Anolis sagrei: one gene and its partners. The protein of the gene in region 3 interacts with the protein of the main gene of each other region in a biochemical or structural test. Links are inferred from orthologs where the notes say so. Each region holds a gene or a part of one and is shown on either strand. Other genes may lie near its edges.

Region 1 (7,679 bases), on a different chromosome or scaffold from region 3:
TCTGAATTAAGGTAAAGGTTTCCCCTTGACATTAAGTCTAGTCATGTCTGACTGGGGGGTGGTGCTCATCTTCCTATCTAAGCCAAAGATCCAGCGTTGTCCGTAGACACCTCCAAGGTCATGTGACCAGCATGACTGCATGGAGCGCTGTTATCTTCCTGCAGAAGCGGTACCTATTAATCTACTCACATTTCAATGTTTTCAAATTGCTAGGTTGGTAGAAGCTGGGGCTAATAGTGGGAGCTCATTCCGCTCCCTGGATTTGAGCTGCAACCCTTCGGTCAACAAGTTCAGCAGCTCAGCGGATTAAAATTCACTAAAGTTCATCTAGTAGGTTGAACACATTCCCCAATTTCTCAGGATATAAACTTTAGAATTCCATCGTAATTGAGAACTATTGGAGCCCCTGGTGGCACAGTGGGTTAAACCGCTGAGCTGATGAACTTGCTGACCAGTGAGCTCCCAATGGTAGCCCCAGCTTCTGCCGACCTAGCAGTTTGAAGACATGCAAATCTGAGTAGATTAATAGGTACCGCTTCTGCAGGAAGGCAACAGTGTCTATGGACAATGCTGGCTCTTTGGCTTAGATATGAAGATGAGCACCACCCCCCAGTCAGGCATGACTAGACTTAATGTCAAGGGGAAACCTTTACCCTAATTCAGAACTGCCCACTAATGTAATATATCTTTCAGGCTAATCCTGTGGCTTTCTGGAATATTGGCATAATATACTAAAAAAAGCCACAATACGATCAGAGTAATAAATGATCCCTGTTCAGACTTAATGATTTTGCATTTCCAATATATTATCATTTAGTGATTAGGTATAATTATCATATGGAGAGGATGTGTCTCATTAACTCTAGAAACACAAGAAAAATGTCTATTAAAACTAGGCACGAGTAAGCATTGACTCCTTATGCAGAAGGCAGTCTGTCAATAAAGAGCCCTTGCAACGAAGGTGTTGATCAAATGTGGGAAAGAAGGGGTAAGATTCTTATTTAGACTAACCTTATCTAGATGGCCTTGGATAAGCCAGATTCCCAGGTAAGAGACAGATTGGTACAAGGCCATCCAACAAGTTTTAGGCGGAGGTGGGAGTCTTAAAAAGTCACTCCTATTCAAATGTAACATTCCCATTTATTGGCTAGAGCACTTTACTAGGGGAATCCTTTGTTGGGAGGTACCTGAAGGCCAAATATTGTCACCCAGGAAGATGGGAGTATTGGCTGCTTGTTGCCTGGGGGAGTACTTTGGTGGGAGGTACCTGAAGGCCAAATATTGTTACTCAGGAAGATGGAGGCAGTTGTGCAGTATGGACAGGATGGACTTGAAGCTTCAAATGTCATACATGTTCAGCATAGGTTCATCTTGCATACCCATTTATTCAGACAGGGGACATACATGAGAGCAATATTGTGAGTGCAATTTGTGCCTAAATTGCAGCAAAATGATCACACCTTACATTGCTTCTGTATTTGAGGATCTTCAGTTTGTATAAATGCTGAAGTAGCAATGCTGACCATAATATTTACACTTAGGTGTGCACTTACTACTTCATCACACTAGAGAATGAATCCACATTAAATCCTGTTTCTGCCTCCTGCAGAATTCTGGAGGTTGTTGTTTAGGGAGGCTGTTGAAGGATCCTCCCTAAACTACAAATCCCAGAATTCTGAAGGAGTCAGAAACCAGATTTAAAGTGGATTCAGTCTCTAGTGTGTTGAGGTCCTTAATTCTTCAGTTATCACTGAGTTTAGGACTGCAGCTTACAATAAGGCATTGAGGCAAGAGTGATAGAAGGCACAAAAACACAGAAGGATGGAACAAATTTGAAAACTAGCATGTACTGGTTTGAGTGTTGGACTAGGGGTGCTTCCAGACAGCACCAAATCACTGATTTTCCATGCGGGGCAAAAAAAACCCCCGCATGTCCGCACAGAGACCTGTGCAGTATGGACTTAGCCTGGCTGCTTGTTACCCAGGGGAGTCCTTTGTTGGGAGGTGCCTGAAGGCCAAATATTGTCACTCAGGAAGATGGGGGAAGTCGTGCAGTATGGATTTAGGATGGCCTTGCAGCTCCAAAGCCTGGCTGCCTGTTGCCTAGGGGAGTCCCTTGTTGGGAGATACCTGAAGGCCAAATATTGTCACTCAGGAAGATGGAGTATGGACTGAGGATGGCCTTGCAGCTTCAAAGCCTGGCTGCTTGTTGCCTGGTAAAGTCCTTTATTGGGAGGTACCTGAAGGCCAAGTATTGTCACCCAGGAAGATGGAGTATTGGCTGCTTGTTGCCTGGTGGAGTCCTTTATTGGGAGGTACCTGAAGGCCAAGTATTGTCACTCAGGAAGATGGGGCAGCCATGCAGTATGGAATTAGGATGGCCTTGCAGCTTCAAAGCCTGGCTGCTTGTTGCCTGGGGGAGTCCTTTCTTGGGAGGTACCTGAAGGCCAAATATTGTCACTCGGGAAGATGGGGGCAGTCGTGCAGTATGGACTTAGGATGGCCTTGCAGCTCCAAAGCCTGGCTGCTTGTTGCCTGGGGGAGTCCTTTGTTGGGAGGTACCTGAAGGCCAAGTATTGACACTCAGGAAGATGGAGTATGGACTTAGGATGGCCTTGCAGCTTCAAAGCCTGGCTGCTTGTTGCCTGGGGGAGTCCTTTGTTGGGAGGTATCGGAAGGCCAAATATTGTCACTCAGGAAGATGGGGGAAGTCGTGCAGTATGGACTTAGGATGGCCTTGCAGCTTCAAAGCCTGGCTGCTTGTTGCTTGGGGGAATCTTTTGTCGGGAGGTACCTGAAGGCCAAATATTGTCACCTAGGAAGATGGAGTATAGACTTAGGATGGTCTTGCAACTTCAAAGCCTGGTTGCTTGTTGCCTGGGGGAATCATTTGTTGGGAGGTGCCTGAAGGCCAAGTATTGTCACTCAGGAAGATGGAGTATGGACTTAGGATGGCCTTTGTTGGGTGGTACCTGAAGGTCAAATATTGTCACTCAGGAGGATGGGGGCAGTCGTGCAGTATGGACTTAGAATGGCCTTGTAGCTTCAAAACCTGGTTGCTTGTTGCCTGGGGGAGTCCTTTGTCGGGAGGTACCTGAAGGCCAAATATTGACACTCAGGAAGATGGAGTATGGACTTAGGACGGCCTTGCAGCTTCAAAGCCTGGCTGCTTGTTGCCTGGGGGAGTCCTTTGTTGGGATGTACCTGAAGGCCAAGTATTGACACTCAGAAAGATGGAGTATGGACTGAGGATGGCCTTGCAGGTTCAAAGCCTGGCTGCTTGTTGCCTGGGGGAATCCTTTGTCGGGAGGTACCTGAAGGCCAAGTATTGTCACTCAGGAAGATTGAGTATGGACTGAGGTGGCCTTGCAGCTTCAAAGCCTGGCTGCTTGTTGCCTGGGGGATGCCTAGGATGGCCTTGCAGCTTCAAAGCCTGGCTGCTTGTTGCCTGGGGGAATCCTTTGTTGGGAGGTGCCTGAAGGCCAAATATTGTCACTCAGGAAGATGGGGGCAGTCGTGCAGAATGGACTGAGGACGGCCTTGCAGCTTCAAAGCCTGGCTGCTTGTTGCCTGGGGGAGTCCTTTGTTGGGATGTACCTGAAGGCCAAGTATTGACACTCAGAAAGATGGAGTATGGACTGAGGATGGCCTTGCAGGTTCAAAGCCTGGCTGCTTGTTGCCTGGGGGAATCCTTTGTCGGGAGGTACCTGAAGGCCAAGTATTGTCACTCAGGAAGATTGAGTATGGACTGAGGTGGCCTTGCAGCTTCAAAGCCTGGCTGCTTGTTGCCTGGGGGATGCCTAGGATGGCCTTGCAGCTTCAAAGCCTGGCTGCTTGTTGCCTGGGGGAATCCTTTGTTGGGAGGTGCCTGAAGGCCAAATATTGTCACTCAGGAAGATGGGGGCAGTCGTGCAGAATGGACTGAGGATGACCTTGCAGCTTCAAAGCCTGGCTGCTTGTTGCCTGGGGGAGTCCTTTGTCGGGAGGTACCTGAAGGCCAAATATTGACACTCAGGAAGATGGAGTATGGACTTAGGACGGCCTTGCAGCTTCAAAGCCTGGCTGCTTGTTGCCTGGGGGAGTCCTTTGTTGGGATGTACCTGAAGGCCAAGTATTGACACTCAGAAAGATGGAGTATGGACTGAGGATGGCCTTGCAGGTTCAAAGCCTGGCTGCTTGTTGCCTGGGGGAATCCTTTGTCGGGAGGTACCTGAAGGCCAAGTATTGTCACTCAGGAAGATTGAGTATGGACTGAGGTGGCCTTGCAGCTTCAAAGCCTGGCTGCTTGTTGCCTGGGGGATGCCTAGGATGGCCTTGCAGCTTCAAAGCCTGGCTGCTTGTTGCCTGGGGGAATCCTTTGTTGGGAGGTGCCTGAAGGCCAAATATTGTCACTCAGGAAGATGGGGGCAGTCGTGCAGAATGGACTGAGGATGACCTTGCAGCTTCAAAGCCTGGCTGCTTGTTGCCTGGGGGAGTCCTTTGTTGGGAGGTGCCTGACACTCAGGAAGATGGAGGCAAGGGAAAGATCCCAAACATGCCCCTCTCCATCACCTCTTTGCAGGAAGGAAGGAAGGGAGGCAGGAATGGAGGGGGTGGGAAGAGGCGCGCCTCCTGACTCAGCCTCCCGCGGGACTTTCCCCAAGGGCTGAGCGAGGCCGGAGGATGCGCACGCCGAGATGACTCCGTCTCCACGCTGCCGGGCACCCGCTGATCACGCGTGGGCCCCGCTCGCCCATTGGCCGGCTGGGCGCACACCTTTGCCGCCCATTGGCCGCCTCTCCGCCCGCCTCGGCCCGGGGACCCGCCACCTGAATGGGAGACAAAAAGAGGGAAAGCGAGGCGGCGCCCAGCACAGCTTGCCTAGAGCCGCCCCGCAGCAGGAGCCATGCTCAACTTCGGAGCCTCTCCTTTGCAGATCGCGGTGAGTAGGACCACCAACCCGGGATATGCCTTGGGAGGGGGAGACACGGACTGCAGCTAGGCAAAGGCAAGGGCTAGCTTGGGCTCTGCCTCCAGGTGTTCTGGACTCCCACTCCCACTATTGCGCACAGCCTCAGGACCCTTCGCTTAAGCGGCTGAGGGGGAAAAGGAAGGGTCCTGAGGCTGTGCGCAATGGTGGGAGTGGGAGTCCAAAACACCTAAGGATCAGCCCAAGTTAGCCCTTGCCTAGCTTAGAAGGAAAAGTAATGATTCTGAGTATGAGAGTCCTAGAAAAAAGCCTTCCTTGCATGCAAAATAAGTTTGCAATGAACATACATTAATAGAGACTGGACGCGACTATTATAAGGGGTATCGGTTGAGATTGGGCGAGGCGGGGGCGGGGCTTGGGAAGCAGTTGTTGTCCAGGAGGGGGCGTGGCCTAGTTCTCAGGAGGGGGCGTGGCCTAAAAAGCCGCGCGCGTTTGGGATTGAGAAGGGGGCGTGGCCCAAGGTGCGGAGGGAGTCTTGATTGGCGCTTAGAGGAGGGCGGGACCCAACAGCCCTGTCCAATCCCCTGTCTGCCATGCATGGGAACACAACCCAAGCACTCTCAACAGATGGCCATCCAGACTGTGTTTTTTCACACCCTCCCAAGACAACATCTTAATACACTATAATAATAATAATAATAATAATAATAATAATAATAATAATAATAAATCCAATCCGCTGTCTGCCCTTCATGGGAATACAGCCCAAGCACTCTCAACAGATGGCCATCCAGTCTGTGTTTTTTCTTCATAAAAAGGTAAAAGTAAAGGTAGTCCCCTGACATTAAGTCCAGTCATGTCTGACTCTGGGGTGTGGTGCTCATCTCCATTTGTAAGCCGAAGAGCCAGCATTGTCCGTAGACACCTCCAAGGTCATGTGGCCGGCATGACTGCATGGAGCACCGTTACCTTCTCGCCGGAGCGGTACCTATTGATCTACTCACATTTGCATGTTTTCGAACTGCTAGGTTGGCAGAAGCTAGGGCTGACAGCGGAAGCTCACACCGCTCCCTGGAATCGAACCTGCGACCTTTTGGTCAACAAGCTCAGCAGCTCAGTGCTTTAACCCACTGCGCCACCAGGGGCCCCACATCTTCATACACAATAATAATAATAATAAGTCCAATCCGCTGTCTGCCCTTCATGGGAATACAGCCCAAACACTCTCAGCAGATGGCCATCCAGACTGTCTTTTTTCAAAGCCAAAAGAAAATACATTACAAAGCATGCACAAAACCACATATATACACATATATGCAAATATATAAACACATATATACACACACAAAACATATACAGACTGGGTCACAGCAACATGTGGCAGGGGATGGCTAGTACTATATAATAATAATACTATATAATAATAATGGGAAGCCTCCCACAAGGATAATAAAACATCAAAAAGATCTGGGCGTCCCCTGGGCGACGTCCTTGCCGACAGCCACTTCTCTCACACCAGAAGCGACTTGAAGTTCCTCAAGTCGCTCCTGACAAGATATATATATATATATATATATATATATATATATCTCACACACACACACACACACACACAAAATACATATGTACAGACTGGGCCACAGCAGTGCATGGCAGGTGATGGCTAGTATTAAATATAATTATTACTGAACATATATAAAGATATAGAATCATAGAATGAAAGAGTTGGAAGAGACCTCATGGGCCATCCAGTCCAACCCCCTGCCAAGAAGCAGGAATAGTGCATTCAAATCACCCCTGACAGATGGCCATCCAGCCTCTGTTTAAAAGCTTCCAAAGAAGGAGCCTCCACCACACTCCGGGGCAGAGAGGCTGTGAGGAATGTGGGAGTCGGAGTCCAAAACACCTAAGGGAGAGCCCAAGTTAGCCGTTGCCTGGCTTAGAAGGAAAAGTAATGATTCCGAGTATGAGAGTCCTACAAAAAAGCCTTCCTTGCATGCAAAATAAGTTTGCAATGAAGACATTCAATGGAACATACATTTATAAAGATTGGACGCGTCTATTATAAGGGGCATCAGTTGGGGTTGGGCGAGGCAAGGGCGGGACTTGGGAAGCAGTTGTTGTTCCACTGCTGAACGGCTCTCACAGTCAGGAAGTTCTTCCTCATGTTCAGATGGAATCTCCTTTCTTGTAGTTTGAAGCCATTGATTCATGTCCTAGTCTCCAAGGAAGCAGAAAACAAGCTTGCTCCCTCCTCCCTGTGGCTTCCTCTCACATATTTATACATGGCTATCATATCTGGACTTAGTGTCAGGGGACTACCTTTACCTTTACCTTATCATATCTCCTCTCAACCTTCTCTTCTTCAGGCTAAACATGCCCAGCTCCTTAAGCCGCTCCTCATAGGGCTTGTTCTTCAGACTCTTGATCATTTTAGTCGCCCACCTCTGGACACATTCCAGCCTGTCAATATCTCTCTTGAATTGTTATTACATTATTGTATAATGTAATAATATAATATAATATATTGTATATACATATATTTATAATATAGTATTATGCAATATAATACTAATAATTATTATATATTATAATTATATATTTATATTACATGTAATACTATTAATAATATTACAATATAATGGTATAGTACAATATAGTAATATTTAATACTGATATTGTATTATGCTAATAACATAATATATTGTATGTATATATATATTTCTCTAGTGAGAGAAAAGCACCACACTAGAGAAAAAATTCCACTTAA
Region 2 (7,810 bases), on a different chromosome or scaffold from region 3:
TCCTCAAGTATCTTTTAAATGGTGTTACATTTTAATTTATATCCTAGCCTAATGTAAATGCTGTGGTTATGTGGACAGATGATTATAAGATGGAATTCTATACTGGTTACCAAGCATAAATAAAGATTTGATAAAGAGCACTTCCTGACCAACCTAAGATTAAATGGACTATGAAATCAGGATTTGAAACCCACCTAAGCTATAGAAATCCATTGGGTAACCTTGGGCAAACCGCATTCTCTCACTTTAGATGAAGCGATGGCAAATCTCCTTTGAAGAATGTTATTGCAAAAAAAATAGACTAAGGCAGGGGCACTGTAAATCAGAGTTGAATTAAAAGCATATAACAACAAGAAGAAGGGTAGCAGTGAAATAGTACATATTCCAAATATAGTCTACTCCATTCAAATGCTATATTTAAGGCATCAGACAGGCATATGAGTGTATGCTTAATCATTAATTTTAATGTGAGGTTCCATTAGGTATTTATATCACCATAAATTGGCAGCAACATAAAAACTGCAACATTGCACATTTGTATTCTCAAGAGGGGAGCAAAAGCGTAACTACGTTTCTGAGACCATTGGAGGAATGGAATCAACATCATGGATCCCATTGAGCACTGGGCACTTGATTGCTATGCAACAGAAACCATAATTGTGCAACAGGGCAATGTGTAGAAGTTCATGATACACATCATCACAATTCATTTTAAAAGGTTGTATGTTTTAAATTGTGGGTGGGACAGAGAGCTTTCATTCCAGTGTGTTATTATAACATAAAACTGGGTCTCAAGATGGCTAATCTGCTCACTGTCTGAAACCATTGTTTCACCTCTCAAAAAAGAATGTTTTTCTATTCATCTACAACACACACACACACCATAGTGTTGTAACACACATACATAACAAAAATCTAGTTTAAACCACAGCCCTATTTAATACATTAGAATATCCAACTAAACCAACTATTAATGTATTCTTTTTCATAGTAAATTATTTAATAAATTAAAATGTCAATTGATTAATACTGAAGTCTGAAGACATAAGCTATCTGAAATGATTACAGGTTTAAGGTAAAGTAAAGGTAAAGGTTTCCTCCGAATGTATTCTCCCCTACGAACCATCAAGACCACTAAGATCGTCTGGAGGGGCCCTGCTCTCAGTCCCTCCGCCTGCACAAGCACGGCTGGTGGGGATGAGGGACAAGGCCTTCTCAATGGTGGCCCCTCGACTTTGGAACTCCCTGCCATTAGAGATCAGAACTGCCCCCTCCCTCATGACGTTCAGGAAACTAACAAAGACCTGGTTGTGGAACGCGGCATTTGACAACTGATTTAATTCTTTGCCCACATGAAAGGAGGATGATGAATGGGATTGTGATGGTGTCGGACGATTTGGCTCTTTTAACTGTGATGATAATGTTTTAACGTGTATAGTGCTGATATTTTAACCGTGTAATGAAGTGGCATTGTGTTGTTATTGTATATTTTTTGTATGTTAACACATGTTGTGAACCGGTCCGAATCCCTCTTTGAAGGTGAGAGGGTCGGTATATAAAACCTCGAAATAAATAAATAAATAATAAATAAGTCTAGTTGTGTCTGACTCTGGGGGTTGGTGCTCATCTCCATTTCTAAGCCGAAGGGCCGGCATTGTCCGTAGATGCCTCCAAGGTCATGTGGCCAGCATGACTGCATGGAGCGCTGTTACCTTCCCACCAAAGCATTACCTATTGATCTACTAACATTTGCATGTTTTTGAACTGCTAGGTTGGCAGAAGTTTGGGCTAACAGCGGAAGCTCACCTCACTCCCTGGATTTGGACCACCGACCTTTCGGTCAGCAAGTTCTGCATCTCAGCAGTTTAACCTTATTACAGGTTTAGATTGTGTAAAATCACATTTCCTATTTTTTTCATTGAGAGGTGGCTACCCTCTTTTTTTAAACTAAGGCACTTTCTGTATAAATTCAAAAACTTTCTTCTTATCCAACAGTCAGCTTGGTCCAATAAAAATGTTCATGTTTTGTGTCTCATATTTGGGGTGGAGGAAATATGTCATTGCATGTTAAGACTAATAATATATTTGGGGAAAGGGGAAACCACCACATTGCACAAAGAAAATATATTCAAGAAGACATAATATTTAACAAACTCAAAACATTTACACAAAATTATATGAGCAGTAAAATTCTACCATATCAATTTTAAAAATGTAGCCAAAGCTAAAAGAGAATGCTCAAATAGGCAGTAGGTATAGATGAATAAATGAATAATTTTTTAGCCCTCAAATTCAAAATCATGCTGCATTAAAATGTTAATACATTTTTCTTTGATAGTAAAAATGTTTTATGACTACAGAAGTTTTTTATCATTCCCCAAGCCCCTGTTACAACTTGCAGAGTGTGACTTAATGTCCTTTTAAGTGAAAGGTGCTAATCCTCTGGTTTAAGGCTAGAGTTATTTAGGAATAAGAGAAAACTGCCTTCAGATTGAAACCTTATGTGCAGTTGGTCAAAATGAGATCATGTGATCCTTGCTGTAATCACTTCCTCTTTAGATCCCCGATTGGTTACAGTGGGGGCTGTGGAGGGGGGTGGCACACAAATCTCCAGCAAATAGGAACTGCCGTGCTGTCGGAGCAAATACAGAAGGGAAATTCCTGCAGTGGGCACCTCTGTACACATTTCATAGCATTTCAAATGAATGCCCTTCTCTCTTTTTCCCTTCTTTCTTTTTATGCCACGTTTACACTATGCAAAAAAAATATATTAAAGGACTTCACAAATAAAAGCGACCTTGGGAAAAAGACAGCTGTAAAGAAAGCTTTTTAATTATTTCCCCGGGCACCAGAGTTTATGCTTAGCACATTGAAATGGCAAAGAGCAATAAAAAGGTGAGCATTTGAAGAGCAGAACAGGAAAAGAGCTGAGCTATTTTGACTTACTTTTATCCCAGAAAGAAGTTTCCATTGCTCCTGTGGTCCTGCAATTGGCTGACAGGGTCATGTGACCTTGTAAACGAAAATAGAAAAGCCTCGGCAGAGTGAGACCGAAGGAAGAGAAGGCAGAGGGAAGACATGAACTTTAAAACACACAAGTCATGCCAGCTGTGTTGGCACGCCTATTATGTAGAGCAGAGTTCAGTCTCCTTGCATTTAAATGGGGACATCCAATAAGGAAGATATCTCTCAGTGATAACCCGAGAGGACCTTACTTTTCATTCTCCTCTTGACTCTGAGATGTAGATTTTATTCCCCTCCCCTATTTATATACTAATATTGTTGCTGATGTATTAGGGAGAATTATATGGCCTGCATGACTCACTTCTCAAGAGCATGTGTTCCCTGGTTATGATTCTGATGTATTGCAAAGTCAACAACTGACAACCATATCTATTTCTCACATAACAGCTATTATGTTTTAACCACAATTTATCATTGAAGTGAAAGTTTAAAACTTACCCTTTAGTATCACATTATGCCCGATCTCTGCTGACACTAAAATGTAGCTTTGAAATGACTAAAAAACCAAGGCAGCTACTAAATGCATGCCAGTAATACACTTCAGTGTGTATTTAAGGGCATACAGCACATTAATGAAAATTGCAGGAAAGTTTGAATTCAGTAAAAAAAAAATGGTACTGCAGCAAATGCCAGCTCCACAAAATGCAGCACAAACTGTAGACACTCGACCATACTGAAACACATTAAAAAGATCCCAGAACAGGGGCTGCCGAGAAGCACCCCAAGGGCATGGTTGGGCAGCATGGGGCTAACCCAGCCATGGGCAAACTTGGGCCTTGCAGGTGATTTGGACTTTAACTCCTACCATTCCTAACAGCCTCAGGCCTTTTCCGCTTAAGCGGCTGAGGGGGAGAGCCTGAGGCTGTTAGGAATGGCAGGAGTTGAAGTCCAAACCACCCGCAGGCCCCAAGTTTGCCCATGCCTGGGCCAGTCGGTACCCTGGGAGGGGTAACTGATTATCTTTGCCTCTGCCTGTTCCTTTTTTTTTCCACCCTGTATGCCTCCAGAGGATGGATGCACATCTCTCTGAGAATTTGGGAGGGGGGGGGGGCACAGAGTGGTTTAAGTCCAGGTTCTGTGTTTAATTTAATCATTTTCCTGGTCTCAAATCGGTTCCAGACTAATCCAATCTAATCACTGCAGAGTGAAACTGGTTCCTCCCAAGCTCCACCTTGTAGTTTAAGATCCACCGGGGAGGCCCTGCTCTCAGTCCCACCAGCCTCGCAAATGCATCTGGTGGGGACGAGGGACAGGGCCTTCTCGGTGGTGACCCCTCGCTTGTGGAATTCACTCCCCAGCAAGATTAGATTGGCGTCCTCCCTCCTTTAGGAAAAAATTGAAATCGTAGTTATGGAACAAGGCTTTTAGCTAGCAGGCACAATGGTACTTTGGACATTGAATTGGACCATATGATGATGGTTATAATAATAGAAATGGCTACTATGACTGTTTAATTCATGTTATTGTTTTAATCTATTGTGTATTTATGGTTTTTGTATTATTGTATATTGTGATATTATGACATCAAATTGTTGCCAATGTTAGTTGTTCTGAGTCCCCCCTCGGGAGTTGAGAAGGGCAAGGTAGAAATGTTGTAAATAAATAAATAAATAAATGTGGTAGTGTAGATGTGTTTTATGACTTATTCTTGCACTTCTTTTCTTTTTTCACATTATATTAGCACTACCTGATACATGTTCACATAGTAGGTATTGGATTTTAATTCAGTATATTAATGCAGCTCTAAACAACAGACATAGGTTTGTCTGTACAGGTTTCTTACATCCAATCTAAATAAATTTAAGCAGATATTCATATGCTTTCTAATTCTAATATTACTTCTTAATGAAGATTTCTGCATTTATAAAAAGAAATGCCTTCCAAATTGTCTCTCACCAGTAGAATAATAAGACATGGAGACATAATGTGGTAAGTCTCAGGCAAAGATTCAATAATCCCTGTTCAAATTACAGTTTACTGCCTTGTGTGGTAAAGCCCATAGTAAGCATATTACAGTCATCCTTCCACATTTGCTGTTTCGACTTTTATGGATTTGATTATTCATAGATCTGAGAAAAATTATTCACAGATTTGAATTCTTGGAAATCACTATCTCCTTCAGTGTAACCTTCCTCATGTTATGCTTGAAGATCTTGAGCAGTGCTTCCCAAAGAGTGCAATATTGCCCCCTGGGGGCACTGGAATGATCCGTGAGAGCAGCAGTAGCCTGGGTGCAATGGGGGCAAGCACTTAATAAAAAATAAGGCAGAAGAGGCAACATAAAGATCGAGGAAAATTTTGAAAAACCAGTCATACACGTGTCATCTGTTGTGTAACACAGAGTTAAAGTCGTAATGATTACTTCATTTCCCAAATGAACACACAAAATGCAAGTTCCAACTGGTCACTAGTCAAGTCTGCCGGCGGATCTTAACAGGCAAGTGTTAACAGGCAAGTGCACACATCTGCAAGAATACATTTGTATGAAGACTTGTTATAGAATATCATAGTTCACTACTTAATAGTCACACTTTTCCCCACCTATGAGCTAGCATATGAAGAAGACCCCATGGGCCTCCTCTGCTGGCACACATAGGCAAACAGAACTTACAGGACCTCCTTTGGTTACCGGCAGCTGAGGGAGACCTCATAGGAGTTGCCCACTGGTGTGCATGGGCAAGTGAGGCCTACAGGATCTCCTTTGGCATCTGAGAGAGACCTCATAGGCATTGATCACCCACATGCGACAGTGGGTGAGAATTACGGAGTCTCCTTTGGCTGTTGCCAGCAGCTCACCCACTCACACACCTGCCGAACAGAGCTATGCAGTGTGACCATTAGTGATCACACATAATGATGATGATAATAATAATAATAATAATAATAATAATAATAATAATAATAATTTTATTTCTTACTCGCACCTCCCCATGGCTTGAGGCAGGTCACAGCACAGTAAAAAACATATGAATACTATGAAAATTCTACAAACACACATATTATAATACAGTTCCATAAAAGAGGTAGATAAAACATTTGTATAAAATGCACATTAATCACACAGGACAGAGACAGAGGCAAAACAGGACATGACTTTAAAATTGATGTTTTCAGCTTTCTGAAAGATACAGGTTTTTAGATGGTGTTAAAATTTTAACAGCTGATCTAGCTATCAGAGCTCTTCCAGTAGGTCGTTCCACAGTCTTGGGGCAGCCAATGAAAAGGTCCTCTGGGTGACAGTGGCCAGTCAAGTTCTGGCTGGTTGGTGTAGCCACTCCCATCCCCCAACCAGAGGACCAAAGCATGTGGGGCAGATTGTACTGGAGAATGTTTCTCCTTGACATTAAGTCTAGTCATGTCTGACTCTGGGGGAGGGGGGGTGCTCATCTCCATTTCAAAGCCAAAGAGGCAGTATTATCCATAGACACCTCCTAGGTCATGTGGCCAGCATGATTTCATGGAGCGTCATTACCTTTCTGCAAAAGTGGAACCTATTGATCTACTCACATTTGCATATTTTTGAACTGCTAGGTTGGTAGAAGCTGGGACAATAGCAGGAGCTCACCCCGCTCCCCGGATTTGAACCACCAACCTTTTGGTCAGCAAGTTCAGCAGCTCAGCGGTTTAACCCACTATGCCACTAGAGAGTCCTGTAGGTAACCTGGACCCAAACCATAAAGCAAGTTCTTTAAAATGCATCTAGACAGCCTCATAAAATCATCAAATGTCTGGAAAAATATTAAGGTTAAATTTTCAGTGCAAATGTTCACACAGTTGATTTAAATATCCTGTTGGAATAAATCCATAAACATTTTAAAATCCAATCTCTTCTTGCAAAGATACATGGTGTAGTAAACAACCCTTACCCTTTTTAGAGAAGTATACATTTGTCGAAATTGAATATCCAGATGGCAGATGTTTTTCAGTTTACTGCCATGTCTGTGTGGAAATTACTGTATAAATCAGTAATGCAGACAGTATGCATTGTCTGACCTAAACTGATCTTTTATTTACTAATTTTCTCCAATTAAGTAGTTAAAAAGTTATCCCATCAACATAAGCACAGTTCAGACTGGCAAAAAAAAAATGGCTACAACTACATTGGTTACAGCAATTGGATTGCAGCCTGCATGAGGTCTGCATGTCACTGCTGGACAATGAGCACAACCATCTGGCCCACTGCTGAAGTACCCTGGGATAGCAGCGATGGACTCAAAAGCTCTCCTCCAACAGGGAGCAATGGGGTTTCAGTCAAAGCTTAAGCTACAGCAGACCTGCTTACTCCCCCCCCCCCCCCACACACACACCCCAAACTGCCTGAGTCTAGGTCAGTGTTTATCAACCTCGGGGTCGGGACCCCTGGGTTGCGAGGGGGGAGTCAGAGGGGTCGCTAAAGACCATCACACAACACAGTATTTTCTGTTTGTCATGGGGGTTCTGTGTTTCTTTCATTCTCTCATTGGTGTTCAGAATGCTATTTGATTGTAGGTGAACTATAAATCCCAGCAACTACAACTCCAAAATGGCAAGATCTATTTTCCCCAAACTCCACCGGTGTTCACATTTGGGCATATTGGGTATTTGTGTCAAGTTTGGTCCAGATCCATCATTGTTTGAGTCCACTGTACCCTTTGGATGTAGGTGAACTACAACACCAAAACTCAAGGTCAGTGCCCACCAAACCCTTCCAGTATTTTCTGTTGGTCATGGGAGTTCTTTGTGCCACATTTGGTTCAATTCCATCATTAGTGGAGTTCAGAATGCTTTTTGATTGTAGGTTAACTAT
Region 3 (7,284 bases):
TTCTGGGAATTGGAGGGCCACAGGTTGAGGATGCCTGCATTCATCGGTGATCCCTCATGTCCGAGTATGATTGCCTTCCAAGTGTAGGGTTTTGGAGGTGGATCCACAGCTCATTGTAGAGGCTTATTCTTGACCTGCATGTTCTTCCACAGTGAGAACATCATTTTCCAGGTGGAATATGGTTCTGACTAGGGTTGTTATTATTATTATTATTATTATTATTATTATTAACTTTATTTGTACCCCGCGAGCATCTCCCGAAGGACTCGATGCGGCTTACACAGGCCGAAGCCACAAACACAATACAATAGAAAACATAACAAACAATAAACAAAGCAAATTAAAAAGCAAAAACAAATCAAATCAAAATTAGCAATACAACAGTAACTATACATCAGGACATATTAAAAACTGGTTCGGCCGGTGAGAGGTACAAGGTTAAAAGTGCTGAAATGGTAGGAGGGGCGTCGGGATTAAAGTACGGTGTGCAGCAATATTAACTGTGCTAAAGTGCTATTAGGACTTGGGATGGGGGTTCCTAATCCGGGAAGGCACAACGGAACAGCCAAGTTTTCAGGTTCCTTCTGAAAACTGCTAGTGTAGGGGCCTGTCGGAGATCTTTTGGGAGGGCGTTCCAGAGTCGGGGGGCCGCTACGGAGAAGGCCCTGTCCCGCGTCCCCACCAAACGCGCTTGCGACGTAGGCGGGATCACGAGCAGGGCCTCCCCAGATGATCGAAGCGAGCGTGTAGGTTCGTAGATGGAGATACGGTCACGCAGGTAGGGTGGTCCCAAACCGTTTAGGGCTTTATAGGTGAGCACCTGCACCTTGAATTGGGCTCGGAAGATGAAAGGCAGCCAGTGGAGCTCCTTGAACAGAGGGGTAGACCTCTCTTGATAATGAGCTCCAGTTAGCATTCTGGCTGCTGCACGTTGGACCAGCTGCAGTTTCCGAGCCGTCTTCAAGGGTAGCCCCACGTAGAGCGCATTGCAGTAGTCCATTCTAGAGGTGACCAAGGCATGGACCACCCCGGCCAGATCAGCCTTCACGAGGTATGGTCGCAGTTGGCGCACGAGTCTCAGTTGCGCAAAAGCCCTCCCGGATACCGCCGACACCTGAGCCTCAAGTGTAAGCGAAGAATCCAGGAGGACACCCAAACTGCGGACCTGAGGTTTCAGGGGGAGTGTAACCCCGTCCAACACAGGTAACCACCCTATACCCCGATCCGGCTTACGATCGACCAAGAGGACCTCTGTCTTATCGGGATTGATCTTCAGCTTGTTCTTCCTCATCCAGATCGACACAGCGGCCAGGCACTTGTCTAGCACCTGGGAAGCCTCCTTGGAGTTAGGTGGAAAGGAGTAGTAGAGTTGTGTGTCATCTGCGTAGAGATGGCACCCAACTCCAAAACCCCGGATGACCTCTCCCAGCGGTTTCATGTAGATGTTGAAGAGCATGGGAGACAGAATAGAGCCTTGCGGGACCCCACAGGTCAAAGGCCAGGGGTCCGAGCAGGCGTCACCCAGCTTCACCATCTGAGTTCGTCCCTCCAGGAAGGACTGGAGCCACGACAGAACCGTGCCCCCAAGGCCCATCCCAGAGAGACGACCCATGCCTTCCTTTTGACATGCCTTCCTTTTGACACATTTCTCCCTTTTGCCCTCCATTCGTGCCTCTTTGAATTTCATAGCACTGTTACTCACAGCTGACCTCCAGTTAGAGAAGGGCCAGGGCTTCCCAGTTCTCAGTGTCTATGCCACAGTTTTTAAGGTTTGCTTTAAGCCCATCTTTAAATCTCTTTTCCTGTCCACGAACCTTCCATTTTCTGTTCTTCAGTTGGGAGTATAGTAACTTTGGGAGATGGTGATCGTGTGTTCAGACAACATGGCCAGTCCAGTGGAGTTGATGGCAGCAGATTATTGCTTCAATGCTGGTGGTCTTTGCTTCTTCCAGCATGCTGACATTTGTCCACGTGTCTTCTGAAGAGATTTGCAGGATTTTTTTTGGAGGCAACACTGATGGAATCATTCCAGGAGTCGAGTATAATATTGGTAGACGTCTCATTTTGCAGGCATATAACAGGGTTGGGAGGACAATAGGTTTATAAACAAACACCTTGGTCTGCCTACGGATGTCCTGGTCCTCGAACACTCTCTGCTTCATTTGAGAAAGTGCTGCACTTGCAGAGCTAAGACGATGTTGTATTTTGGTGTCAATGTCTTTGGGCCCTTCACTGTAATACGCCTGAGTGGACCAATTCAAGGCATTCTGGACTTCAGTGTGACCTTGAGTGGGATCTTTGATCACATGCAATCTCCTAGTCAAAGAGATTTGACTAGGATCTCTTTGCTCCTAGTCAAAGCGATGTTCTCATCTTGTATTTGTCTTTAAAATCCCATGGAATGCTCTGAAAACAAACGAAGGAAAGCCTAATTATATCTTACTTACTCAGCCGATCCCTCGTAGTCCGAGGATGATGGTCTTCCAAGCTCGGTGTTCTGGGTCTGTAGGTGACTGTGGAGCCCTATTCTTGATCTGCATCTTCTCCCACAGTGAGGGCATTGGTTTCCAGGTGGGAGGTGGCCCCCGTTGGGGTTGGCTTGACGTGCCTTCCTCTTGGCACGTTTCTTTCTTTCCCCCTCCATTCGTGCCTCTTCAAATTCTACAGCACTGCTGGTCACAGCTGACCTCCAACTGGAGCACTCAAGAGCCAGGGCTTCCCAGTTCTCAGTGTCTATGCCAGAGTTTTTAAAGTTGGATTTGAGCCCGTCTTTAAATCTCTTTTCCTATCCTCCAACATTCTGTTTTCCGTTCTTGAGTTCGGAGTAGAACAACGGCTTTGGGAGACGGTGGTCGGGCATCCGGACAACGTGGCCGGTCCAGCTGAGTTGATGGCAGAGGACCATCGCTTCAGTGCTGGTGGTCTTTGCTTCTTCCAGCACGCTGTCCGCTTGTCTTCCTAAGAGATTTGCAGGATTTTTTGGAGGCCGTGCTGATGGAATAATTCCAGGAGTTGCATGTGACGTCTGTAGACTGTCCACGTTTCACAGGCGTATAGCAGGGTTGGGAGGACAATAGCTTTATAAACAAGCTAATTATATCTACCTCCCTCCATTTGCCGGCGTTAACTCTAGAAATAATGTAGTTTGATCCACTTCCACAGCTCAATGCTATGAAACCATAGGAGTTATAGTTTTACAAGGTCTTTCGCCTTCTGTGCCAAAGAGGGCTGAGTAGGCCTCAAATTACAATTCCCATGATTTCATAGGATCGAGACGTAGCCATTATTACGTGATGTCAAACTGCACTAATTCGACAAGGTATAGACAGGTCTCCGTATCCACAGACTCCACCATCCACTGCTTACAAATAATCCAGGATGTCACTCTCAAAAGCAAAAGCTGATTTGGCCCTTCTATACATGGGAGTCAATTTCACTACACTATTTATTTATCGTGTCAGGGGCAGACCAAACAGTTGCACCACTGTGTATATATTCACACACATATAGAAGGTCTTGAGCACCCACTGATTATGGTGTGGAGGGGGGGGGGCGTCGTGGCACACGAAGGAAGCCACCTCAGCGGCGCCTCTTACATTATGACCGGAAGTGAGCATTTCTCCAACGAGCCTCAAGGGAGGAAAAACGACCGACGTCAGTTCTGGTTGCATAATCCCTTCGTCAAATGGAGGAAGGGGGGTGGAGTAGGCCCGAGCTAAAATGGCGCCAACGCCCGTCACCCTGTTCCAATGGCCCAAATGAGCAGCCATTCCCATTGGATAATTCAAGGCCATCCTCGATCCTCATTGGAGCAGGCACTGTTTCCGCCTCCTCTCTCCTTGCTGCTCTCTGGCTGCTCAATCCTTCGCTCTGAAACGCTCGTGATGCCGATTGGCTAATCGTCCTGTCAGTCCCCGCCTTCCTCTCCATGACGGAAAGGCCTCGTCTCTTGATTGGACGCCAGGCAGTTGAGTCGGACGAGTTCGTGACAGGGCTACCCGACGCGGTCGCCGATTGGTCGGTTGCGACATCACTTCCCAGTTCCCAAACACTCTCCAAGCCCCGCCTCCCACACTTGGGTGGGGCTTCTTTCGAAAGGCGTTTCCCGAAAGGAGAGCTTTTGGTAAACTGCTCCCCCTTCCACCCCCCCTCCCCGCATTTTCCACACGCCTTCTTTTTTTTTTGTAATTCCGCGACTGGCTGTGCGAGGCGCCAGTCATCCCTAGCCACGCCCAGAGAGGCCTGTGATTGGAGGAGAGAGGCGGGAGGCGTGGCGCTTGGCCTTGGGGGCTGTGTGGGCACAGCTCCCTCCCCTCAGCAGGCCTTTGGCGGTCACCGGTGGGGGTTAGGCTTAGCCGCGTCCCACAAACTCCGCTGCCCCCGCCCAGGACACCCCTCCGGCGCCGCTTGGGCTCGCCTACTTCTTCGCCTCGGCCAACATGAGCGGTAAGGACGGGACTATTTGGGCCGGGCCGAGAGGGGGGCGCCGCCTGCGTGCTTCCCGCCGGCCTTCCCTCGCGCTCTGGCCCAGCCCCCCAGGGAGGGGAGGGGAGGGGAGGGGAGGGGAAGCGAAGCGAGGGGAGGGGACGGCATTGGCAGGGCCAACCTGTGGCGGGGAGGGGCCCCAGGAGGAGGAGGAAGAGGAGGAGGAGAAGGGGCTTCTTGGGAGGGGAGGAGGACGAGGAGGAGGCCGGAAGAGAGGGTTCCGGGTGGGAATGTCTCTCAGGAAAAGGAAGGCCGTCCCTACCTTCTCCTACTACTTCTGTGTAGTTAACCTTCGTTAGAGGTTAGTATTTCCGTGTTGCTGGCTTAACTACCCACCCACCCACCCAGGGGTTAAATGGAACCCCCCCCCCCCCGCTGCCGCCTTTCACCAGAGTGCCCCTGAGCACGTGCAGAGTGCGCCTTTTTTGTGGGCGCCAGGACTCGGATCCCCGCTTGGGAAGAAGTCACACTCTCTCAGCCTCAGAGGCAAGGCCTTCGGGGGGGGGGGTTAAAAAACACTACAGAGTAGGCCTCTATCTGAGTTTAAAACCGTCCTGGCGCCATTTTAAACCGCCGTTTCGTCTCCGTGCTGCGGATTCCTCCGAGGTGTCCCTTTGACAAGGCCTCAAAAGCCTTGCCTTGGCTGTTGGTTGGCGCCTCACCAAACTGCGAAACGGGCGGCTTAAAGTGGGTTTTTCTTCGTGTTAGGAGCGACTTGAGAAACTGCAAGTTGCTTCTGGTGTGAGAGAATTGGCCGTCTGCGAGGATGTTGCCCAAGGGACGCCTGGATGTTTGGATGTTTTACCATCCTTGTGGGAGGCTTCTCTCATGTCCCCGCATGGGGCGCTGGAGCTGACAGAGGGAGCTCATCCGCGCTCACCCCGGATTCGAACCTCCGACCTGTAGGTCTTCAGTCCTGGCGGCACAAGGGTTTGACCCAGGGGTCCGCAAAGTTTTTAAACAGAGTGCTAGTTTAACCCAGGGGTCTTCAAACTATGTAAACAGAGGGCCAGGTCACAATCCCTCAAACTGTTGGAGGGCCAGATTATAATTTGAAAAAATATGAATTCCTATGCACATTATACATATCTTATTTGTAGTGCAACAATGCTTAAAAACAATACAATAATTAAATGAAGAACAGTTTTAACAAATATAAATTTATTAGTATTTCAATAGGAAATGTGGACCTGCATTTGGCTGATGAGATAGGATTGTTGTTGTGTGCTTTCAAGGTTTCAGGTTGACCCTGAGCGAGGGCCAGGTAATTGACCTTGGAAGGCCGTATCTGGCCCTCGGGTCTTAGTTTGAGGACCCCTGGTTTAACCCATTGTGCCACTGCTTTACAGTTCCACAGTTTCGGCTCAGGGCCCTTCCACACAGCCCTATATCCCAGAATATCAAGGCAGAAAATCCCCCATTATCTGCTTTGAATTGGAATATATGGCAGTGTGGGTTCAGGTAACCCAGTTCAAAGCAGATATTGTTGGATTTTATGCTTTGATATTACAGGATAAAGGGCTGTGTGGAAGGGCCTCAACTGGAATGAGGGGCTGGGCTCAAAGTCCAGGCCTTGTGGGAGGGGAGTGGGCTTCTTCCCAATGCCTCGCTGAGGACAACTAGGGACTGGAAGGAAACTCAGATCCTAAAATGCAAGAGCCCACCAACCGTCCACTGTGTCCTTTTTAGGGACCTTCCAGGCAGGCCCCATATCCCAGTATCTGATCCCAGGTTTTCTGGTTTAAACTGGATTATATGAGTCCCCACGACCAGATAATCTGGGATAAACAGAAAACCTGGGGTCAGATCCTGCTATATAGGGCCTGTCTGGAAGGGCCCTTAGGCTTCTTCTGTCTGTAGGAATCAGATATATGTTGCCAGACAGTCTGAGGCCTCTTCCACATCTGAATAAAATCCCACATTTTCTGCTTTTAACTGAGATATATGGCAGTGTGAGCTCAGATAACCCAGTTCACAGCAGATATTGTGGGGTTTTCTGCCTTGATATTCTGGGTTATATGGCTGTGTGGAAGGGCCCTGAGGCTCCTTCCACACAGGTGAATAAAATCCAGCATTATGTGATTTGAACTGCAGTATTGTGTGGACCCATATAACCCTGTTCAAAACAGATATTGTGGGATTTTCTGCCTTGATATTCTGGGTCATATGACTATGTGGAAGGGCCCTTGGAAACGAAATGTGACATGCACTTGGGGGTTTTCCCAGGCCTCGCTTCCGCCCTTTGGCCTTATCTGTGTGTTTCCTCACACGCATAAAACAGAGCTATCCTTTCTCCTGGGGTGCATTTATGCTGTAGAATTAATGCAGTTTGATGCCACTTTAACTGCCATGGCTCAATGTCTAGGGGTTATTTGAACAAGACCTTGAACCTTCTTTGCCCAGATTACCTTCTATGCCTCACCAAACTACAAATCCCATGATTCAATAGCATTGTTCTCTGTCACTTAAAATGGTGTCAAACTGCATTATTTTTCTAGTGCAGCCTAACTTAGGGCCCTTCCAGACAGACCCTATATCCGAGGATCTGATCTCAGGTTTCTGCTTTAAACTGGATTATATGGTCCCTTCCACACAGCCCTATATCCCAGAATATCAAGGCAGAAAATCCCACATTATCTGAGCATGGACTCAGATAACTCAGTTTAAAGCAGATATTGCGATATTTTCTGCCTTGATATTCTGGGATATAGTCCTGTGTGGAAGGGACCTATCAGTCTGCAGTGCCAGATAATCTGGAGTAAACAGAATACCTGGGATCAGATCCTGGGATCTAGGGCC
Region 4 (7,565 bases), on a different chromosome or scaffold from region 3:
TGAGACTGAAAAAATATAGCAAAATGTGCGGCAAAATGTCCCACGGAAACAAACTTTCACCATGTTTTTGTGATAGAATCATTTTTTTCATCGTGTGAGAGAATTGGCCATCTGCAGGAATGTTGCCCAGATGTGTTACCATCCTGTGGGAGGATTCTCTAAAATCCCTGTATGGGAAGCTGGAGCTGACAGACAGGAGCTCACCTCAAGGATTCAAAACACAGACCTTCAGGTCAGTAGTTCAGCCAGAACAAGGGTTTAACCCAGGCATGGGCATACTTCAGCCCTCCAGTTGTTTTGGACTTCTAACTCCCACAATTCCTAACTGCTTCAGGCCCCTTCCTTTCCTCAAGCTATTAGGAATTGTGGGAGTTGAAGTCCAAAACACCTGGAGGGCTCAAGATTGCCCAGGCCTGAGTTAAATCCATTGTTTCACCTTGGCTCCTAGATAGAACCAATTAGGAAATGGCATTTATAATCCAGGAACAAAACTTGTGTTACATAGTGTAACAGAAAGGAGATCACATTGAAGAGGGTCCAATGCTTGTTTTCTGCTGCTCTGGAGACACAGAGCAATGGATTCAAATTGCAGGGAAAAATATCCCACCTAAACATTAAGGAAGAGTTCCTGATGACAAAAGCTGTTTAATGGTGGGCTAGGCTGCCTGGGAGTGTGGGGGAGTCTCCTTTTGCAGAGGGGGAGCTGGATGGCCATCTGTTTGGAGGGCTTTGGTTTTGTTGTATTTTCCTGCAATGTGGTTGGACTGGGGGGGGGGGGTCTCTTCCAACTCCAGCTGGATATCCAAGAGCAGAAGGAAAATCTAAAGCAGTGTTTCTCAACCTCCCCAATTCCGCGGCCCCTTAATGCAGTTCCTGATGTTCTAGTGACCCCCAACCATAACATTATTTTTGTTCCTACTTCATAACTGTAATGTTGCTACTGTTAGGATTCTGAACCTCACCGATGATAGAATTGGGTCAAACTTCTGACACGGAACCCCCACGACCAACAGAAAATACTGTGTTTTCCAATGGTCTTTGGTGACCCCTAGGTTGAGAAACGCTGACCTAAAGTATTCAACCAACCCAGTGGTTCTCAACCTGTGGGTCTCCAAATGTTTTGGCCTTCAACACCCAAAAATCTTAACAGCTGGTAAATTGCCTGAGTTTTCTGGGAATTGTAGGCCAAAACACCTGGGGACTCACAGGTAGCGAGGCTGGATAGACACTGCTATATAATGCAGTGTGGAGGCTCAGCTGAGTTGAGACCATTTAGGCACCAGGTGTATATATGTATATTTGTGTGCATGTGTATATGTGTGTGTATATATGTATATTTGTACATATATATATATACACACACACACGTGTGTATGAATCTGTGCATGTATTTGAGTGTGTGTATATATGGTGTATTTTGGGGGTTTTTAAGTCTGTTCCGCTGGAGTTTTTTGCGTGTGTGCGTGTTTAGGGGTAATGGACACTCATTGGACTGTTAGGTGTATTGTGTCCAAATTTTGTGTCAATTCGTCCGGTGGTTTTTGAGTCATGTTAATCCCAGAAATGAACATTACATTTTTATTTATATAGACTAATACTACTACTACTACTACTACTACTACTAATAATAATAATAATTTATTATTAGCAACTCGAAAAGCGATTTAAAGATTGAACTGCAAAGACTCTGGCACAAACCAGTCAAGGAGGTCCCAGTGGGGATCAGCACACTGGGTGCAGTGCCTAAAGACCTTGGCCTACACTTAAAAACAATCAGTGCTGCCAAAATTACCATCCAACAGCTGCAGAAGTCCTGCCTACTCAGAAATCCCATGCATTATTTGCTGATATGTCACATAGTCCTAGACTAGTGGTTCTCAACCTGTGGGTCCCCAGATGTTTTGGCTTTCAACTCCCAAAAATCCCAACAGCTGGTAAATTGCCTGGGTTTTCTGGGAATTGTAGGCCAAAACACCTGGGGACCCACAGGTAGCGAGGCTGGATGGACACTGCTATATAATGCAGCGTGGAGGCTCAGCTGAGACTATTTAGCTGAGACCAGGTGGTTGTGAAGGTTCAACAGGGGAAGGAAGGAAGACTACAGACCTTGAGGAAGGAATGGGGCCGGCAGTGGGGAGAAGAGACCTGATCTGAAATGCAGATTTTTGTAGAGGAGCCAGGCCGCTGAGGCGTGGAAAGCGCGCCAAGCTGTCCCTTTACATCCCGCCAAAGGAAGGAATGCATGGGATCAGGGGAGGTGTAGTTCCGCCAAGGTCTTTAGTAGTCTTCTGCTATGAACAGTTGAAGCGATACCAAACTGCATTAATTCTAGTGTTGACTAGGCTTGGGGAAATTTGGGCCCTCCAGGTGCTTTGGACTTCAACTCCCAGCATTCCTAACAGCCTCAGGCCCCTCAGCTTAAGCGGCTGAGGGGGAAAAGGAAGGGGCCTGAGGCTGTTAGGAATGCTGGGAGTTGAAGTCCAAAGCACCTGGAGGCCCAAATTTCCCCAGGCCTGGTTTAGCTGTACCTGAAGGGGTCCCAAAGCCCAAAAAAGGCCTGAACTGGGCACCAGGCCTCAAGAGGCCCTCTTAGCCAGAGGAGGCGGAACTACAACTCCTATGGCTCTGGGAGCATCCTGCACGAGCCCAAAATGGCGGCCGAGCAGGCCCAAGCGTCCCTGCTCCCCTTCCTTCCCTAGGCGCCTCTACCTGGACCGGGTCCGAGGAGCAGCGCTGGTTGGCCTGCAGCAGCCCCAACGCCAGCCGCTGCCCTTGCCCTCCCGGGAGCTTGGCCGAGGCGCCACCATCCTTCACCGCCGGGGGAATGTTCTCCTGGTTCTCCAGCTCCGAGGCGGCAGCAGCGGTGGCGTCCGTCAGCATGATATGATGGGATAGAGAGGAGGCTCCTGCTCCGGCGGCGGCACAAGCTCAATGGAAAGGCTCGGCGTCCGTGGCTCTTGCACTTCCACCGTTCAAGTAGCCCGCGAGGATTGAATCGGCCAATAGGGAGGGAGAACGCCCTGACGTCACTGCTTACGGGAGCCCGCGAGGGTCGAGAAGTCGGTTTGAAAGGAATTAGCGGGAGGAGGGGATTGGCTGGCGGGGAAGGGGGCGGTCACGTGGCTATAAATAAGCAGTCACTTAGGCTGAAGACAGGTGGCGAGCGGGGTTTCTGTCATTACCTTCCTCGGAAAGACAGGAAACCTCCAGGGAGGTTCCTTATTGATTCCTCACACTAGAATACTTGCTGTGAATTATTTCTCTTTTTTGTTTATGTAGGTGCTATGGATATATATTATTACTATTATTTTTATAAGTTACTATTTTATATCATGACATTACATTTATTATATACTAGCTGTCTCCTGCCACACTTTGCTGTAGCCCAGCCTGTGTATATGTTTTATGTGTATATAATAATTGGCTCCACTGGCTGCCAATTAGCTTCCGAGCACAATTCAAAGTGCTGGTGTTAACCTATAAAGCCCTAAACGACTCCGACCCAGTTTACCTGTCCGAATTCCGTTCTCCCCTATGAACCATCTAGGTTGTTAAGATCATCTGGAGGGGCCCTGCTCTCAGTCCCACACCCACCTGGTGGGGATGAGGGACAGGGCGTTCTCGGTGGTGGCCCCTCGACTCTGGAACTCTCCCACTGGAGATCAGAACTGCCCCCCCCCCCCCATTCTGTCGTTCAGAAAACAGGTGAAAACCTGGCTATGGGGTTTGGCTTTCGACGAGTGAATCAATATTTCTGTGATCGGATGGATGACGATGAATGACGGACAACGAATTCACTATGACGACTGACCATTGTTATTATGTGATTGCATTTTGCCGTTTTAACATTTTAATTGAATATGTTATATGACGTTTTTAATGATTGTTTTGTGATATTATTGTTGGAAACTGGCCCGAGTCCCCCGATAGAGGGGAGAAGACCGGTATACAAAATTGCTAAATAAATAAATAAATAAAATATAATAATAATACTTTATTTATACCCCGCTACCATCTCCCCAAGGGACTCATTGCGGCTTACATGAGGCCAAGCCCACAGTACATCAGTAAACAAAGGCAATAACAAAAACAATAAATACAAAACAGTTAATATAAATCACATAAACAAAAACAAAAAAACAATAACAGTAACTCACAAGCATTTAAAAACCTATGGCCGGGCCAAATGTATTAATTTAAAATTTAAAAAATAATGCTGGGTATGAACAAGGTAGGATATAACAGAAATAGGGTTTTTCAAAGAGAGATGAGGAAACGCAGTCGATCCTAAATCAATGGTAAAGTGCATTTTGAGGGCATATTGCTAACAGTTTTCCTTATATATATATATATATATATATATATATATACATATACATATATATATATAGGGGGTTGTATATGTGTGTATATATATTTGTGTATTTGTTTTTATGTGTACATGCATATTGTGTATATGTGTGTGCTTGACTATATACATATTTGTGTGTATGTATGTATGTATTTAGAATATTTGTACCCCACCCTTTTCAACCCCCTGAAGGGGGACTCAGGGCGGCTTCCAGCAAGCAACAATTTGATGCCTCAATGTACACATAATAAAATACATAACAAAACCAATAATTATATATAATTAAAAATATTAAGTCAATACAATAAAAAATTACTAATTGTAAATTAAGAACAAAAAATAAACTTCTTAAATATTGTGACTTTTGGGCCCATCCTGTATTTATTTATTATGTTTTCTTTATGATATTTTATTTATTACACACATATATATGGTCATACGTACCACATTTCTTCTATTTTAAGACACCATCAGTTGTAAAAGGAACACTGATTTCAATACTACCAACAGAAATTAAAAGCTTTATTTACATAAAGAAAAAAACATTGAGCCATGGCAGGTAAAGTGCTGTCAAACTGCATAAATGCTGCAGTGTAGATAGAGCCTTATATATCTTCATGCGACAAAGGTACGGTCCTTTTCCTGTCTCCTTGCTATACTTTGAGCTCTGATGGACCTTGTATCTTCCATCTTGCTTTCTCTTCAAAGGCATAAAGATCTGATATTCATCACACACAAAAGGCCACAAAAGTTCATGCTATAGTTGAAAAAATTTATTTATCAAATTGATTCCGACCTAGCACAGAGTTATATTTCCAATAAATAACTTTTATCCTATTTACACATGTAATAGTCTATAGCCGACAAAGTTCTATATACAGACTGGGAATTACATTATCAAGAGCAATTTTCTTTAGTGACTGGCTAATGCAGGGCACCGTTGCCATGCCAGTGCATAAATAGCAAGAACAAAGGCCTCATCTATACTGTCAAATAAAATCCAGATTATCTGTTTTGAACTGGATTATATGGCAGTGTAGACTCATACAATCCAGTTCAAGCAGATAATGTGGATTATCTGCTTTGATAATCTGGATTTTATGGCAGTGTAGAAGGGACCTAATAGTGTTGATATGGAATGTGTGATTATCAGAACTGCATTTCCAACCTAATCTATACTGGGAAGAATGATACATGCAATCTGTTACACCAATCTCAGAATTTTCTTTGTAGCTGGCAAGCAAAATACTACTTTGGCCCCTTCTACACTGCCAGATTATCCAGATTATCATAGTAGATAATCCACATTATTTGCTTTGAACTGGATCATATGAGGCCCCTTCTACACCACCATAAAACCCCCAGATAATATATATTTATAGATATGAATGTATATTTGTCAAAGAAAAAGGAATAAAACTAAATCAACATACACTAGCATTTTGGAGAAGAGGTCAATATAAGAATCATTAATATTAAGGATGAATATATGTCCCATGCATGTGGGTGCTTGTAGAGATTACATGTATAAAATATTTGATTAATTGTTTAACTGGTTTACTGTATGTTTTCTGTAAATGTTTGTTGTGTGTGATATTAATAAATAATAATAATAATAATAATAATAATAATAATAATACCCTGATTACCTACTTTGAACTGGATTATATGGCAGTGTAAACTCATATAATCCAGTTCAAAGCAGATAATGTGGATTATTTGCTTTGATACCCTGGATTTTATATAACAGTTTAGAACGGGTCTTTGTCTTTTGCACAAAATGCATGTAGTTACAGATTCAAAACCCTTAATTTTTACTAGGCTCAATCAGAATCCACAATCAGACTCTTTAAAAGCTAGTGAACTGAAAACATTTTACATGTCCTTTTAAAATTAAGGTTGTGTAAAATGTATTTAGAGTATATATGCCAGTCCTACCAATTGTTATTAAGTCACATTTCCCATATATTATGTATGGAATGTTCTTGGTAAATACCATTTCTAAATATATATATATATACATAATAAATGTAAGTTTTATTCACTAACAATTATTATTATATTTAAAATGATGTAAACAAAGATCTGGATTTGCTGATCTGCATCCTCTACATTCACTTTAGAGATTTCATATTGGTTTCTATACTTCCAGTTCATGAAGCACTATCAAAAAAGGCAAGCAATGTGTTTTGATCATAGCTTCCCAAAATTTCCAGCAGAAGAGGAACTTTGGTTTTCACATTAGTGCCTTTAAATTTAAATTTATCTATGAACAGATCTGTAATCATACCTGAAAATAAAAGAAAAGGAAATTAGTATTATTTTCAGAAGACTGATAAAAAAAAAACAAAAATAAGAGAAGTACTTCATATACAAAATTAAGGGTGAAAAGTCAAGTATTTTACATTGAAGAGCTATCACTGGAATCATTTTGCATCACATGCAGCATGTAGCAAAATGTCTAGTAAGACTCAGCATCTTTTCTAACCACTAAACTCAATGGTAAGTTTGTCATACATTTCAGTGGAAAATATTCTGCACCATATGTTCAGCAATGAGGCCTTGCATTAGCATGGATCAACATTCACACTATTATTTTAGTTTCAATTAGTACCAGATACATAGTTTTTGTTCTTGAGTAAATGCAGAGTCCCCCACAACAGCTGCAATTCACCATCAGCTCTGATACACAGCTTGGATGCTAAAGGTGGAATCCTATTGAAACAATGCACTAGCACAGCTGCTGATGTATGGACTTGCGTAAGAAAACGTCAGAAACCATCTTATACAAGCCATTCCCTGGTGCAAAACCATCCTTAGTGCTACCAATCTGGCACTGCAGCACAACATCTACTGCTTCCCACTATACTGTATTATTTATTATTTACTGTATTTATACCCTGCCTTTCTCACCCAAAGGGGACTCAAAGAGGCTTACATGTAGGCAACAATTTAATGCCAAATAAACAGACACACAAATAAAACACATATGCATAAAAACCAAAAAGTTAAAAACATCTAAACAGTAAAACCAAAAATTAAAGTCACACAGTTTTGTAGGGTCACATCTCTACATTTACATAGTCTTCCACTCCACTTGTAAAGCTAGACTTCTGCATTGATGAACTCAAACTGTATGTGCATAACAAAGTACACAATCCTGATTTTCGTTTGAAATGATGGACAGTACAACTGCAGTTTGAGAGACATCACA

What was found.
Region 1: the proteins of SP1 (region 3) and KLF10 form a complex in vitro, tested with the Homo sapiens proteins (2 studies listed by BioGRID). The link is inferred for Anolis sagrei from reciprocal best matches to the Homo sapiens genes SP1 and KLF10.
Region 2: the proteins of SP1 (region 3) and ESR1 form a complex in vitro, tested with the Homo sapiens proteins (6 studies listed by BioGRID and IntAct). The link is inferred for Anolis sagrei from reciprocal best matches to the Homo sapiens genes SP1 and ESR1.
Region 4: the proteins of SP1 (region 3) and CCNA2 form a complex in vitro, tested with the Homo sapiens proteins (2 studies listed by BioGRID). The link is inferred for Anolis sagrei from reciprocal best matches to the Homo sapiens genes SP1 and CCNA2.

What each region holds. Positions count from the first base shown.
Region 1 is NC_090024.1:30,001,670-30,009,348, forward strand, and holds the start of KLF10 (Krueppel-like factor 10), read left to right. Parts: upstream 1-4,670; 5' UTR 4,671-4,885; coding exon 4,886-4,921; intron 4,922-7,679.
Region 2 is NC_090021.1:72,370,538-72,378,347, forward strand, and holds the start of ESR1 (estrogen receptor), read right to left. Parts: upstream 3,023-7,810; 5' UTR 3,008-3,022; coding exon 2,947-3,007; intron 1-2,946.
Region 3 is NC_090022.1:190,698,084-190,705,367, reverse strand, and holds the start of SP1 (transcription factor Sp1), read left to right. Parts: upstream 1-4,271; 5' UTR 4,272-4,439; coding exon 4,440-4,446; intron 4,447-4,681; exon of another isoform or gene 4,682-4,786; intron 4,787-7,284. UniProt on the Homo sapiens protein: Transcription factor that can activate or repress transcription in response to physiological and pathological stimuli.
Region 4 is NC_090025.1:36,496,796-36,504,360, forward strand, and holds the start of CCNA2 (cyclin-A2), read right to left. Parts: upstream 3,010-7,565; 5' UTR 2,881-3,009; coding exon 2,710-2,880; intron 1-2,709. Other genes in the region: BBS7 (Bardet-Biedl syndrome 7 protein), read right to left, coding at 6,505-6,641. UniProt on the Homo sapiens protein: Cyclin which controls both the G1/S and the G2/M transition phases of the cell cycle. Functions through the formation of specific serine/threonine protein kinase holoenzyme complexes with the cyclin-dependent protein kinases CDK1 or CDK2.